2 linked regions of the Notamacropus eugenii genome follow. The protein of the gene in region 1 purifies or fractionates together with the protein of each later gene. This does not show direct contact. Links are inferred from orthologs where the notes say so. Each region holds a gene or a part of one and is shown in the gene's direction. Other genes may lie near its edges.

Region 1 (7,403 bases):
ATGCATGATTTTCTGTTTGCAGACAATTGTGCACTCAATGCAACCTCTCAAGCTGAGATGCAACAAAGTATGGATCAACTCTCTGCTGCCTGTGCTAATTTCGGCCTAATAACTAACCCAAGAAAACACAGGTGCTCCATTAGCCACCACCACACTATCCATACGTGGAACCATCAGTTACAACAAAATGGAGAAGTTTTGAATGCTATGGATAAGTTCATTTACCTTGGTAGTATATTTTCCAGGGATGTACACATTGACAATGAGGTTGATGCATGCATTGCCAGAGCTAGCTCAGTGTTTGGGAGGCTCCGAAGAAAAGTTTGGGAGAGCAGAGGTATTAGACTGACTACCAAACTGAAGGTCTACAGAGCCATTGTGCTGACCTCATTGTTGTATGCCTGTGAAACATGGACAGTCTACCACTGCTATGCCAGGAAATTGAATCACTTCCATTTGAACTGTCTTAAGAAGATTCTGAGGATCACCTGCCAGGATAAGGTACCAGAAACAAGTCCTTGCTTGAGCTGAACTGCCAAGTATTCAAACTATGCTTCAGAAAACGCAACTCCAACGGACTGGTCAAGTTGTTTGAATGCAAAATGTGCACTTGCCAAAAAGAGTATTTTATGGAGAACTTTCATGAGGCAGGCAATCACATGGTGGTCAGAAGAAGCAATACAGGGACACTCTCAAGGTCTCTCTCAAGAACTTTGGATTTGACTGTGCAACATGGGAGGCACTGATGCAGGACCGCTCAGCATGGCATGCCCACATCAGAAAGGATGCTCTGCTCTGTGAGCAAAGCAGAATTGAGACAGCACAAAGTAAATGTAGGATGCACAAATTTGGGATATCCACCCCAAATATTCACACAGATTATCTGTGCCCAACCTGTGGTAGAGCATACTGAGCTTGTAGTGGTCTGATCAGCCACAGTTAGACACACTGAAATTTCACTTTATCATGGCTATGTCATTCTGGTCCTCTTTGAAGACAAAGGACAACAACCAACTTCAACTTTTCATTTCACAGTGTTTATGCTGTTTTCTTTGTTACCTTGGTGACATGTAAATCTCCATTCTCAAATTAGTTTACTGTGAGCCATCCAAGTAGTTTGAGCTGTGGTCTAACTTATATAATTCTGATTATGAATATATGAAAAATCTCATAGATTTTGTTTATAGGTAAATGATCCATGGAAAAAGTAGGATGGCCCATCCTCCATGAATCAAAAGACAGAATTGAGTGAACCTGACTCCATCTTGTAACTCAGTCCTAGAGTTAGCTCAGTTTCCTTTCTATTCAATTATGGGTCTAGTCCAATTTCTACCTTGTGAGGAAACTTCATTCAGTTATGGAAATTGTGAGAAAACATTATTGTATTCTTTGGACCTAGCCCTATATGGCTGGAAAGTTGGATTACCCTTACCAGTTGCTTAGAGACCCTTGACTAAGGACCTAGGCTATGCTGACTAGAAACCCAGTCAGATCCAAAGAATGATGTAAGGAGTTTCTCACAACTGCACATCTTAAACAGCCCATATATTTTATCTGAAAACTGTTCCTTTCATTGAATAAGATACTCAGGGGAGGGGAAGTGGGATGCCTCTTTTTATGATTTGAGAGAATTGCACCTGATCATTCATCTCCATCCCAACTCAGAAAGCCCCTAATCTTTCCTATAGTTAGAAATTAGATTACCCAATTTTGTAACCTGTTTTATATACTGTTAATTATTTTTATTGCATAAAAATCTATCTCCCCTGTCTTTGGGGTCAGTGCCAAACTGAGGAGGCCTGGTCCCAATCTGTTATGCAATTGGCATGCATTGCTTAATAATTTAATCCTTCTAATTATGCTTGATACTTAAAAAGTTAATAATAAATAAAATCAGAAGCTCAAACCTTTGTTTCCTCAGTTATTTCATCTCCTACATCATGGTGAGACCATGGCAGTACCTACACACCTAAAGCAATCCCTCATGAAAAATGAATCATCCAATTATAGGACAAAATCAGGATTCTCTAGAGGAGCATCCAAAAGGTCATTGCAGGACTTTTCAACCATGTCCACAGCAGAGGAACAATCATGGAAAGGATCCCCTGAAATTGGAATGTCAGGGAATGAAGTGGCCAGATTAAGAACGGAGAACTGCTTTAAAGTCACACTTTCTTTGTTCAGTAAAGTCACTTCATACCTAGCAAGTCTCTGATCTGAAAAGGTTTGTGTTCAAGGTCTCAGCAAAAGAGCCTCTACTCATGGGATACTGCAAATGGAGCTCCTAATACCAAATCACATGTCTTTTCTACTTCAAAGAAAGTGGCAAGACACAGCCTACTATGGCTGGAGTACCAGCTGTGCAGAATAGTATACCATGGGGCAAGGAGAGGGCCTAAGGGATTAAGGATCTCAGAAGCCACCTCTCTATTCATGAACAAAAAGAGAAAAGGGCTTACTTACTCCAGTCCCAAAACTGGAGCTGAAAACAATGCTCTCTTGAGGTCTGCAAGGGCAGTAAGGTGTTCTGGTCCAATCTGAAAGTCTTTGGTTAGAGAGGCTAAGGGTTTACTAATCTCACCAAAGGATGGAATCTACTGACAACAGTAGTCTTGTTTTTTCCAGAATGAGACGGATCTGCTTCTTAGTCTTTGGGGCAGATAGCTGCTGAAGACTTTGTACCTCTTTAGGAGAAACAGAGCAAGAGCCTGAAGACCAAAGGAAACCATAGACCTGTGGGAGGCACCATTGTACCTTTGATCTGGAGGCTTTGTGGCTTCTGGCATGTAGTTGGAGATGATAGTAGCTGTACTCTTGACAGTTTCCACAGTAAGAGATCATTGATTAGTGAACCAGAGTGGACCTATCATAAAGAGAATTGCATTGATTCCTTAAGGGTTTCTATGAGTGTTTTATGAGTTTTCTCTATCTGTTTATGGGCTTCTGAGAGTTTTTTTTTAACCTTCTGTGTTTTCTGTGTGGGTTGGCCTCTATCCTGACAAGAATATGTTCTTTCTAGGACTTTTAAGGGAATTAGAGACCCTGTTACTAGCACTTGTGGAAACCTAGACATTAATTATATAAAAGCTATATTCAGAGATATCTCAGAGGAAGCCCGGCAGTGGTAATAATGAGCTGAAAGGGAAATTGACTTTTTTTTTTTTTTGAGGGAAGCCCCAAAGATTGAACTGTCAGTTAGGGGAGGTCCCTGAACACCTGGCTACAGGTAGGTCACATTTTCCTTCAAAATCCCATCGACTTCATCTAACTTCTCACAATGTTTAAAATACTTTCAGCCACCCCAACTCCTGTGATAAAACGCTCAGCCATTTCGCCGTTATGATGTGCCTCCATCCTAGAAGTACCAGGTTCTCCAGGTATCTCTTCCAGTCCCTTGATTCTCAATCACTTCTTCCCTCTCTCCATCCCTGCCACCCACTCCCTTTGCGTTCTTGGACCAGCCTTTAGCTCCCTTATCTGTAAAACGATGGGTCCCTTCCAGCTCTGAGGCCATGAACCAGTAAAACCCTCTTTCCTCTCAGTCTAAGGAAACACCCCCCCCCCAAACTCCTTAGGCTGCTCCTTCGGCCAGGACACCCTCTCCCTCGCCCCAGGGGATCCCAACTCAGTTCGATAAACACCTACTAAGCACATGCCAGACACTGTGCTCAGGGTACAAAGAGGCAATGCTGACTGCCTAATTCTCCCCATCTCTCCATTCAGTTTGAAGCCCGGAAGGCTTGTTTGGGAGAAAAGACAAATGTTTGGTTAGAAGGTAGGGAAGAGCCGGGGTCACCGGGGCCAATGGTCCTCCATCTCCCTTCCACTTCCCTCCGTAAGTAGGCACGTACGTGATGGTGGGGAGGCAGGAGGGTTGTGCAGCGGGGTACAGCACACGATCAGGGTCCTAGGTGCCTCATCACTTGGCGCTTACTGGACTGATGCCCGGGATGGCCAGGCGCACTCCCCAGGAAGCCCCTCCCTGAGGCGGCCCCTGGGGTGGAGCCCCGAGGGCGGGCAGCGCGCGCATCCTCCCGGCATACACCACTTTGTCTCCATCGAGGTGGACTATAAGCCTCGCTTAGAGCCGGGCATGCCGGGAACTGTAGTCCCCCGCCTTCCCTCCCTCGTGCCAGAAGGAAAAGCCGTAGGGCCCAGCTCCATTTTATGCAAATAAGCTGCAGCCCCGAGGCGGCGAGGGGAAGTGGGAGGTTTGCTGTGGTGTGTCGCCCTAGGAACCCGCGCACTCCGCAGCCCAAGCCGCCGGCTTTAGCGTCTTCATCCGGGTGTCACGTGTGCCGGAGCCCTTTCCCTGCGCGTGCCCCTCCTAGATTCCATCCTCCCCCTCTCTCCCGCCCCCGCCCCCGCCCCACCCCCACCTCGCCACCGGCTCCACGCCTCCCCTAGCGTACAGAGGCGTCACGGAACGTCCCCCTCCTCCTTTCCCCCTCTCCGGCTTTCCCTCCCTCTCTCACCCTTCCCCCAACCCCAGCCCTCCCCCTCCCGCGCCGGAGACTCGCCGCCGCCGCAGCAGGACGAGTAGCCGCCGCCGGAGCAGCGCAGAGCCATGGCCGAAAACGCCGGCTTGGAGAATCACCGCATCAAGAGCTTCAAGAACAAGGGCCGCGATGTGGAAGTGAGTGTCGCGCCGCCGCCGCTGGCCGAGGGGTCCGGGCCTGGCCGCCCGCGGCGGACGCCCAGGCTGGTTCTCGCCGGTTCGCCGTGCGGAGTTGGCCGCCGCCGCCTCCCTCTCCTCCCCGGGCGGCGGGGCGGGGAGGAGCGCGGGGCGGCGGCGAGGGAAGCGGGGCGGGGGTGGGTGGAGTGGTCGAAGCCGCCGCGGCCCCGCTCCCCTCCCCGCCTAGGGAAGGCACCGGCCGGCGGGGAGACGAGGGAAGAGCCGTGGGTTTTTTCTCCTCCGTCACGCGGGCGCGGCCTGGTGGAGGCGAGCGAGGGATGTGCGGCTGCGAGGCGCCGCCGGAGGCCGACCGGCGAGAGCGAGCGGGGGCTGCCGCCGTCTCCTCGCCTGGCCGCAGCCCCGCACGCCCGCCGCCTCCTCGCCTCGCCGGGCGGGCCCGCACGCCCGCCGGGCACAGGAGGGACCGGCTTCTCGCTGCGTAGCGGGAGCGGCTCCACCTGGGGCTCGGGCTCCTCGCGGCCCCTCGGCCCGGGCTCGGCGTGGGGCAAGGCCGGGTCACTGAGTCGCGCCGGGTGGCGGATGAGGGGAGGAGGGAGGGATGCGCCAGGACCATCTTCTCGGCCCCGCTCACCCTGTGATCGTCCCCGAGCTCCCACTCCCCTCTCGCTTGGCACCGGGATCAGGATGCCGGGCAGACAATAATTGGGCATCTATTGTGTTCTTGCTCCGGGAGGAAAGAAAGGGGGGGAGTGTCCTTTCCATTCCTTCCTCCTGGCTTCCTTTACATCCCTTGGAGTATACGATGCATGCGTGATACGATCGATCATTTGTGGAAAGTATTTTTATTGGAATATTGTCGAGGCATCTCCATCCTTCGTCTCTGGCTCCCGCCGTGCCGGTGTCGGGTGATGATTTCTGCGGCCAGATTGTAAACATTATGGTCACTCCGTGTGCTGCCATTGTTTCATTAAGGTGACACGAGCAGGTACTACTTTGTAACTCATCTCATGCTGAGCAGCGCTAGGGGTCTCTATGCAGCTGTTTAAAGCATGTCAGTGGAAGGCACAAACTTCATCAGTACCCACACATATACGGTGTTTGAGCCCCGTCCCGTCCTCATCCGCTTTGGCAGGATATGATTTGGATTTGTAGGTTTGAAATAATATGCTAAAGATAATGTGCATTTTACAAATGAAAATTAATCCAAATTACTCTACGGTGAGGGGAAAAAATCCTTATTGCTTGTTTTATAATGAGTAAACATTGTAGTTCTCAAAAGCACAGTTACACTGACAAAATCTTGAGGCATTTCTGAATATATAATTTTGAAGATAACTGATGACTGTGGAGATCTCATTTTATGAAAGAGAAAACCGAGACTTCTCTGCATGAGTATGTTCTGGCCTTGATTGCATTTCCCTCCACAGACACCTGTCCTGATTCTAAGACTCGTAAAAAAATGAATTTCAGAAAGCTGGAAATTGCTTTCTCCTGGTCACCTCAGTGATTGAGTCTAGTGTCTTAGGTCCAGGGAAGTATCATTGGCAACCAAGTCCTTCCACCTGCTGCAGCCTTATCCTGTGTTAGAAAATGTAAAAAATCGAAATTAACCATGTTCCCCCAGAAGGTATGGTAAATTTATCTTTCCCCCTGGGTCCTTAGGATGCTTGGATAGTTTTGTCTTTATGATTCCTTCCCTCCCCGTTTGTTTTAGTATTCCTGTGACATTCAGTACTTTTATACTATATGCGTATTGCATAATAGATATACATTAAATGTTTGTTGCTCCTGACATCAGTTTCTGTCTTTTAAATATGAGCAATTATATGCTTCCATGGGTGTCTTAAAGGATGAGTAGTGGTAGACATTCTGACCTAAAACAATATTTTAGGAAGAACAGTAATTATCCTTCATTTTACAAATTGGCAAGCTTGGGCATCGAAAAGCCATCCACTGCCAAACCTCTTGCCTTTTGACATGTTACAATGCCCTCTTCCTCTCCCCCACTAGCTGGAACAGTACCTTCCAGGCCAGATCTCCAGAGACCATTCTCTTCTCAGTCAGTCCTACTATTGCTTATGGATTTTGAGAATTGACTGCCCTATGACTTCACAGACCAAAACTCCTTTCCTTGGCTACAACTCTCATATATGTGTTACATTTCTGCATTAGGATAAAAATTTCTTGAGGGCAAGAACCATCTGGCTTTTTTATTTGTATTCCCAAGATCCTATCATAATACATCCTATCATAATACTTGACACTCCAGTATCTAGGTAATTTTTTTCACTCATTTATTTATTTTAGTCAAAGGTTGTAAGATAACCCCTTCTCCACCCCCAGACTCCAAATCACATTAGTCTATGACAAAACTAGGGCTAGAATCTAGGGTTTTTGATTACTTACTAGTGGTCTGTCCTTTAAACCACATCAAATTATATAGTTATCAGTCATATATGATGTACATGGAAAAAAGTAATCTTATGCACAAGGTGCTGGGTACTATGCAAATTGATCTTAACTGCTATAGCTTCTTTTTAGGAGTTTATAATACAGAACAGAGAATAGTTAGGTAGATGTATACAAAGAAAAATCAAACATAATGAAAATTCTGTAAGCAAGAAGATAGAAAGGACCATCAGAAATAAAATACAGTTTCCCATAAGTATACAGTTGTGCTAGGGAATTGAGTACAAGGTGAGCTTTAGAAGAAAAACATTTCATACCTATCCAGTCAGGAATGACTTCATAGAAGAAAGATTCTAAT
Region 2 (7,089 bases), on another chromosome or scaffold:
CTCCTTTCCCTCATTCCTTTCTTTTGGGCCACAGGCTACTGTGGTCAGGATTTCTCTGAGCCACATTCAAATATCTGGAAGAACAACTGGGAGACATTTTGGGAACTGTCAGGAAAAGGATGCTACCATTCAGAAGTATGTTATCTAGCTTCTTTTTCAGTTTACTCTATTATGAATAATAAGCTATAAGATCACAACATGTTGTCTCTAAATCTATGGGTGCAGTATGCAATACGTTGAGAGGGGGGAACCTAGATGGCTCAGTGGATAGAGCACTGGGTCCTGAGTTGAGATAGATCTGAGTTCAAATCTGACCTCAGATACTTCGTAGCTGTATGACCCTGGGCACATCACTTAACTCAGTTTCCTCATCCCAAAAATGAGAAATAAATGATAACCCACTCCAGTATCTTTGCCAAGGAAAACCCCAAATGGGTCATGACTAAACAACAAGAAAAACCCCGGTAGGGATTAGGAGCTAGATATAGGTGTCAGATTTTGGTTTTTCAACATTTGGAGCAACTTTCCATTTCATTCCCTAGATTAATATTGGACCAGCCAATGAGAAGTTAATCCAAACTGCTGAACAAAATCCGAGCCCTGCTATAGCATGAACTTTCCTGGGAAGGGGAGGGGGGTGAAAGGATTGAGCAGCCCAGGTGTTTGAAGGCTGTAGTCCACCTACTGGCCAGGCAGGCTATTGCAGGTTCTTAGGCTGGCTATCCTGCCCAAGAAACTGAGAAAGCTGGGTTGGTGGCTCCAGTAGAGTGCCACCTGTAGATAATGCCACTCTTACATCCTCTTGCTACATAATTAGCACAATGAGACCCTGACTTTCTGTTGCCTTACGTCTACATCAAACCACACAACCCAGGGAGTCTTATGGGTTGTTGTGAGGATCAGATGGAAAGTGCTTTGTTAACCTTAAAGCCAGATGTAAAAATAGTGATTTTAAAATTGGTCCGTTTCACCAGTTATGCTCCTGTTCCCAACTTCCAGTGTGGTTGTAGGGAAAAAACTGCTGAGCCTAAAGTGCCAACTCTACTGCATCTTGCCTCCTGGAGGATCCTGGGTAACTTACTAAGTCTCTCTGAGCCTGTTTTTACATCTGGAAAATAAGGAGGTTGGACAATCAGTGGTTCTCCAAGTGTGATCAGGAGACCTCTGGTGGCCCCCTGAAACTCTTTTAGGGGGTCCTTGAAGTCACAATTATGTTCATTACAATGGTAAGATATTTTAATTTCTAATATGGTAAATATCAGTTAGAAATAACCATATTGTGTTCATCATTTGTTGTGGAAGAAGACCATGCCATCTGAGAAATGATGACAAGACTTGCACTTGACTTTGTTTTGAGTGAGGGAGGCCTGTACAAGGTCACCAGCTTCACCTCTCCAGAGCCCTCTGAATACAGTGACCAGATATTCATCAGGATAACTGGAGATGATCCCAGATGCTCTTTGCAGGTACTCACTTAGGATGAGGCAACACCCATTCATTGAATAGGCCAGTTTAAGAAGTAGCCAAGGCCCCTTTAATGAGGTCAAGAAAAAGAAAGACATCAGCCTGGGAGGGAAACAGCAACAGTTACTATTGATAATCACTCTAAAGCTAGGAGGGTCCAGAAGAGCCTTAAGGCAGGGGCCCATTGGCATCCCACCTTCAGAGTGCAGTAGGTTTGAGGTTTAGGGAAAGGACAGGACAGGACAGGACAGGTAAGGAAACGAAACGAAAGGAAACTAGCCAGTAAAACCCAAGTCAACTGGGCATCTTTTGGCCATCCAAATTTACCTTCCTTTGGAGAGGAGAAGGAAGGGGGGAGGGGGGAGAGGCAGACAGGAGAAGAGGAGCTGAGTTACCCAGCTAGCTGGGTTCCCATTCAGCCAGCTGCATGTACTCACAGAATTGTGTTTGTCCTTCCTTACCGAAGAAGACTATGCCATCAGAGAAATGATGACATGACTTGCAGTTGACTTTGTTTTGAGTGAGTGAGGGCTGTGCAGGTCACTAGCCTCACTTCTCCTCCAGAGCCTTCTGAATCCAGTGACCAGATATTCATCAGGATAAACAAGAGCTCTGTGAGGTCCTAAATAATTTTTTAATATTTTATTTTTCCCCAATTTACATGTGAAAATAATTTTAACACACTTTTTTCTTAATTTCTGAGTTCCAAACTTTCTCTCTCCCTCTCCCCTGCCCCCACATTGAGAAGGCAAGCAATTTGATACATGTTGTACATGTGCAGTCAAAACATGCAAAACATATTTCCATGTCAGTCATGTTGTGAAAGAAAAGAGAAAATACAAGAAAAATAAAGAAATAAGGAAAACGTATGCTTCAATATGGATTCAGATTGTCAGTTTGTTCTCTGGAGATGGATAGCATTTTTCATCCTAAGTCCTTCAGAATTGTATCATTTTATCCCTAAGAAGAAGTAAGTCATTCATAGTTGATCATCACACAATGTTGCTGTTACTGTATAAAATATTATCCTGACTCTGCTCATTTCACTTTGCCTCAGTTCGTGAACGTCTTTCCAGGTTTTTCTGGGAGCATCCTGCTCATCATTTCCTGTAGCACAACAGGATTCACAGCTTGTTCACCCAGTCCCCAATTGATGAGCATCCCCTTAATTTGCAATTCCTTGCTAGGTCCTCAACAATTAAGAATGTAAAGGGATCTTGAGACAAAAAAGTTTGAGAATCACGGAACTGGATGATCTTTAAGGACCTTTCTAGCTACAAATATTATGAATCCTGACTACCATTTAGTCAGAAAACAAGCATTCACTAGCAATATGATTGACGAGAGGCAAGTTGCTCTCTCAGTTTCGCTTTCCTCCACTATAAAATTATGCAAATTATATTTATACAACCTACCTCATAGAGTTTGGAGAAAATTATTTTGTAAGTTTCAAAATTGCTGTATGAATTAAGTTTATTAAATTTCTAATAATGAAGTATGGTATAATGGTTAAAAAAACACTGACTTGGGAATCAAAAGAATTCAGGTCCAATTGTGGCTCTGTCTCTAGCGTGCTTGGTGACCTTGGCACTGACTTGGAAGAGCAGAAACCTTTGGTTTCGTTTTTGGTTCAACAAATCAACTCAGTGAATGTGCCATTGTAGGGAGAAGGAACTTCCTGCTAGCCAAGATAATGCTCTGCTGGTAACACTAAATCCTGTGGAGTGGTGGCTCTTGACAAATCTGAACTTAGAAACATCAATCCACTTCCCTACGAGCAAGAATGATGAGAGCCAGCAAGGTGCTCCCACCCATTACTAATTAGTAATGTCCTCAGCTCCCTTGATGTTACTCTAAGATGTGGAGCTGCAGTCATGCTCTCCTTAAGTTACGACTTCCGTTGTGCCCGGTCCCAGGGAGTGGTTTAGAACAGAGCTCTCTCTTCACCAGTGTCCTAGCATGCATGTCCTGGGTAGCTTACCTATTCACTGATGCACAATAATCTAAAACCACTTTACCCAGGCCTAGACAGGAATAGAAAGCACAGTGGATAGAGCACCGTGCCTGGAGTCAGGGAGACCTAAGCTCAAATCCAGCCCTGGTCCCTTCCTAGTACGTCATTTAACCTCTGCCTGCCTCAGTTTCCTTCTCTGTAGAATGGGGGTGATAACAATAGCACTTACCTCTCAGGATTGTTGTGAAGATAAAAGGAGATATTTGCCAAGGCTTTGCCAACCTCAAAATGCCATATAAATCCTAGAAATTATTTTTATCGTTATTTACTAAGTACCTACTACGTGCCAGGTGCTGTACTAAGGTGTTGGGCACGTACAGAAAAGCCAAAACACAGTCCTTACTGTCCAAGAGCTCCCAGGCTAACCCGGGAGACCACGTGCAAGTAACTGAGTACAAACAAGATGCAGACAGGATAAACGGGAGGTAATTAACGGAGGGAAGGCACTGCTAGCACTGAAGAAGACGGGGGAAGAGCTTCTTGTAGGAAGCCAGAAGGAGGTGGAGACGGTGGAGAGGATCCCGGCATGGGGACAGACAGCCAATAAAAACGCATGAAGTCAGGAGATGGAGAGCCACAGAAAAGGGGCCGGCGTCACTGGATCGTCGCGGGTGGAGGGGAAAGGAGAAAGAGTAAGGTGTAACAAGAACGAAGGAAGGCTTTGAGATGCCGGCGCATTTTACATTGGATCTTGGACCGAATGACAGGAGAGTGGACAGTCCGCCAGACCGGAGCTGAGCCAGCGGACCCTAAAAGCGCGGAGAAGCTGAGGGTGGGCTTCAGGGTGGGGGCAGGGTCGAAGGGGAGGAGGGGCTGGGCCACGGAGAGGTTACGTTACCGAGGTGGAAATCCCAGGACTCCGCATGGGATTGCCTGGGGGAGGGGAGAGGGGGGAGGGGGGAGGGGAGAGCGAGGAGGACGCCTAGGTTTGGGGCTGGAGGACGGCGAGGATGGGGGCGTCCGGAAGAGAGAGAAGCGTGAGAGGAAAAGGTAACGACCCCGCTCTGGATCTGCGGAACTTGGGAGGTCCGCGGGGCGGCCAGCCTGAGAGGCCTACGGGGCGGCCGGAGCGGAGGACGGCGGCAGAGGCCCTGGAGAAAGCACAGCGAGCAGGGAAGAGGGCCCGGGCCCAAAGCTGGCTCCGGGGCCGGAAGAGCCCCCGTCGGGAGCGGACGGGCGGGGCTGCCTCGAAGCCCGCCCCCTAGGAGCTCGCCCGGACTCGAGGACGGGAGGAGTGCAGGGGCGCACACCTGCGCAGACGCCACAACTGCAGCCCTGTCGGAAAGGGCTCCGCCGGGGGCGGGGGGGGGAGGGCGGCTGGGGACGACCCCACCCCTTCCGGCGCCTCAACCGGCCTGACGCTCGCCATTGGTCGAAAGGACCGGAGGAGGCGGAGCCGCCGGGGAATTCGAATGCCGAAAGGAACCAGCTCTGTGGAAGAGGAGTTGGGTTGGGGGCGGCCGGCGAAGCAGAAGCCCGAGAGATGGCGGTGGCAGCTGCGGCTGCAGGTAGGGGCGCTCGGGGCAGCTGCGGGCCGAGGATGGCCCACGCTGCCTCAGCAGGGGCTCGCTTCTCTGGGTTATCCCTTGGAGGTTTCCCGGGCGCGCGGGGTGGGGGATGGGGAGAAGGGAGGTGGGGTCGGTCCCGCGGTGCAGGCGCAGGCGCAGAAGACGCCGTGCGCGTTCCTTCCGGCGCCCCCGGATCCTTTCTCTGCCCTCCTTCCCCCAGGGTGGGGAGAGAGAAGTGTGGAATGGGTTGTTAATGCCTCCCTTCGCGGGTCTGAGACTTGAAGGAGGGAGCCCCGTATCTCCCCAAAGGGAAGCGGGGTTCAGGAGTTGGGAATCCCGGACTAGACCAGAGCTAGAAATGAGAGTGGAGTTGAAGACTAATGGAAGCTCTGACGTGGGACAGATGGGGAGGAAGAGGACTCAGTGACAAACCAGACACCTGTAAGTCAGGAGAGGCCGGTGACAGCCCCTGCTCTCACAGAGCTCACTTTTAATAGGGGAGACTGTTGAGGTCTGAGGGGCGCTGGGGGACCCCGAAATACAGACACCGGGTCCTGCTCGAATGAATTCGACACTAGCCTTCTTAAGGCCCCCAAAAACAAAGTTTATTAAAGATTCGCCATTTTGGGTTGACTGTTAAGGAGCCTTTATAAGCATTTATAACGTTTGTATTCACTAGCGGGCCAGATAGAATCTCAGCTAGACAGAGTCTGAGCGCCTTCATGGAGGCAAGATGGAACTTAAATACAGAAAAAGACTGAGGGAAGCATCCAGGTGTGGCCAGGTAGTCTGGGGTCCCAGGGATGGTCTTGAAAGATCAAACCCAGGGAGGATTCTGATTGGAGTGGCTGGTAATAGGATCAAAGAGAGAAATATGGAAAGAATGCTAAATAGAAGATTATCTATTTATTATCTGTTATCTGCCTAAGAGAGTATCTGACCTGAGAGAAATGGAAGGGGAATCCAAGGAGCTCCCTGTCCCCCAAGGCCAGACTGCCCAGGGCCCTTCAGACAAATGTGACAAAGCTCTTCCCATCCAAAGGGAAAAGGTCTTGGTTTGAGCTTGTTCCCCATCAAGACCACATGAAAACAACTATGTACAAACAAAGGTATATGCAGGATAAGTTGAAGATATTCAATACAGGGAGTACTAACAATCATTGAATGAAAACCAGATAATTTATATTGTCTCTATGCACAAAGCAAAATAGCCCATTTTTAAGTTTTAAGTTTAAGCGTTTTAAGTTGTCATAGATATGACACTTTAGAGGATTACTCTTAGGATCACAGGATGATAAAGTAAGCTGGAAAGGGCCTTAGAAGGCATGTGAAACAACCCTCTTCATTTTAGAGATGAGGATTTGAGACTCAGAGACATTTAAATGAGTTGCCAGGCACAGATAGAGTGACAGCTGGGATTCTTTGTTCCTCTTACAAACTCCTGATTGGTAAGGTACTGTCTCCTAGCTTGACTCCCTACCATAGACATGCAGACCTTTTCATTAGGGACCAGTGCTTTCCTTAAACATTCCATTTCTTCTGATCACTCTCTGATGGTTTCTGCTGATCACCTGTAACATTTATGGGCCATATCCTACAAGTTAGCATTTAATTATATTCTCTCAGGTTCTATTTATTCTTTTGTCAGTAGACAAGCATTTATTAAGTGCTTACTATATGTCAGGCTTACATATGCTTATTGACTCTAAAAACTAGACTTGTACCTTTAGAGAGACCTGTAGTATAATGAAAAGGACACTGAACTAATTAGATGTCAGGAGGCTGAGCTTACAGTCCAGGCTCTTAATCTCTAAGGTTTCCCGTATCTCTTCAAAACAAAACAGAAAAAACCTGACATTGACAATGTCCAGAAGAAAATATGTGTCATCCTGCATCCTGAGTCCTTCATTTCTATCAAAAGGCAAGTAGCATGTTTCATAGTGAGTTCTGGAATGATGATTAGTCATTATGGTGATCACATTTCTTAAGTCTTTCAAAAGTGTCTGTCTTCCTTATATAAATTTACTTGCTTGTATAGATTTCACTCAGCATCAGAGTCCAGGTTTCTCTGAAACCACCCCTTTCATCATTTCTTAAAGCACA

What was found. The genes of interacting proteins can lie anywhere in the genome.
Region 2: the proteins of KPNA3 (region 1) and KIF22 purify together in Homo sapiens (affinity purification with mass spectrometry; 3 studies listed by BioGRID and IntAct, counting the BioPlex papers as one, with this or other methods). This does not show direct contact. The link is inferred for Notamacropus eugenii from reciprocal best matches to the Homo sapiens genes KPNA3 and KIF22.

What each region holds. Positions count from the first base shown.
Region 1 is NC_092876.1:106,567,249-106,574,651, forward strand, and holds the start of KPNA3 (importin subunit alpha-4), read left to right. Parts: upstream 1-4,388; 5' UTR 4,389-4,567; coding exon 4,568-4,636; intron 4,637-7,403. UniProt on the Homo sapiens protein: Functions in nuclear protein import as an adapter protein for nuclear receptor KPNB1. Binds specifically and directly to substrates containing either a simple or bipartite NLS motif.
Region 2 is NC_092872.1:47,025,108-47,032,196, reverse strand, and holds the start of KIF22 (kinesin-like protein KIF22), read left to right. Parts: upstream 1-4,071; 5' UTR 4,072-4,178; coding exon 4,179-4,250; intron 4,251-4,857; coding exon 4,858-4,986; intron 4,987-5,162; exon of another isoform or gene 5,163-5,366; coding exon of another isoform or gene 5,367-5,427; intron 5,428-5,915; exon of another isoform or gene 5,916-6,069; coding exon of another isoform or gene 6,070-6,095; intron 6,096-6,801; coding exon 6,802-6,907; intron 6,908-7,089. UniProt on the Homo sapiens protein: Kinesin family member that is involved in spindle formation and the movements of chromosomes during mitosis and meiosis. Binds to microtubules and to DNA. Plays a role in congression of laterally attached chromosomes in NDC80-depleted cells.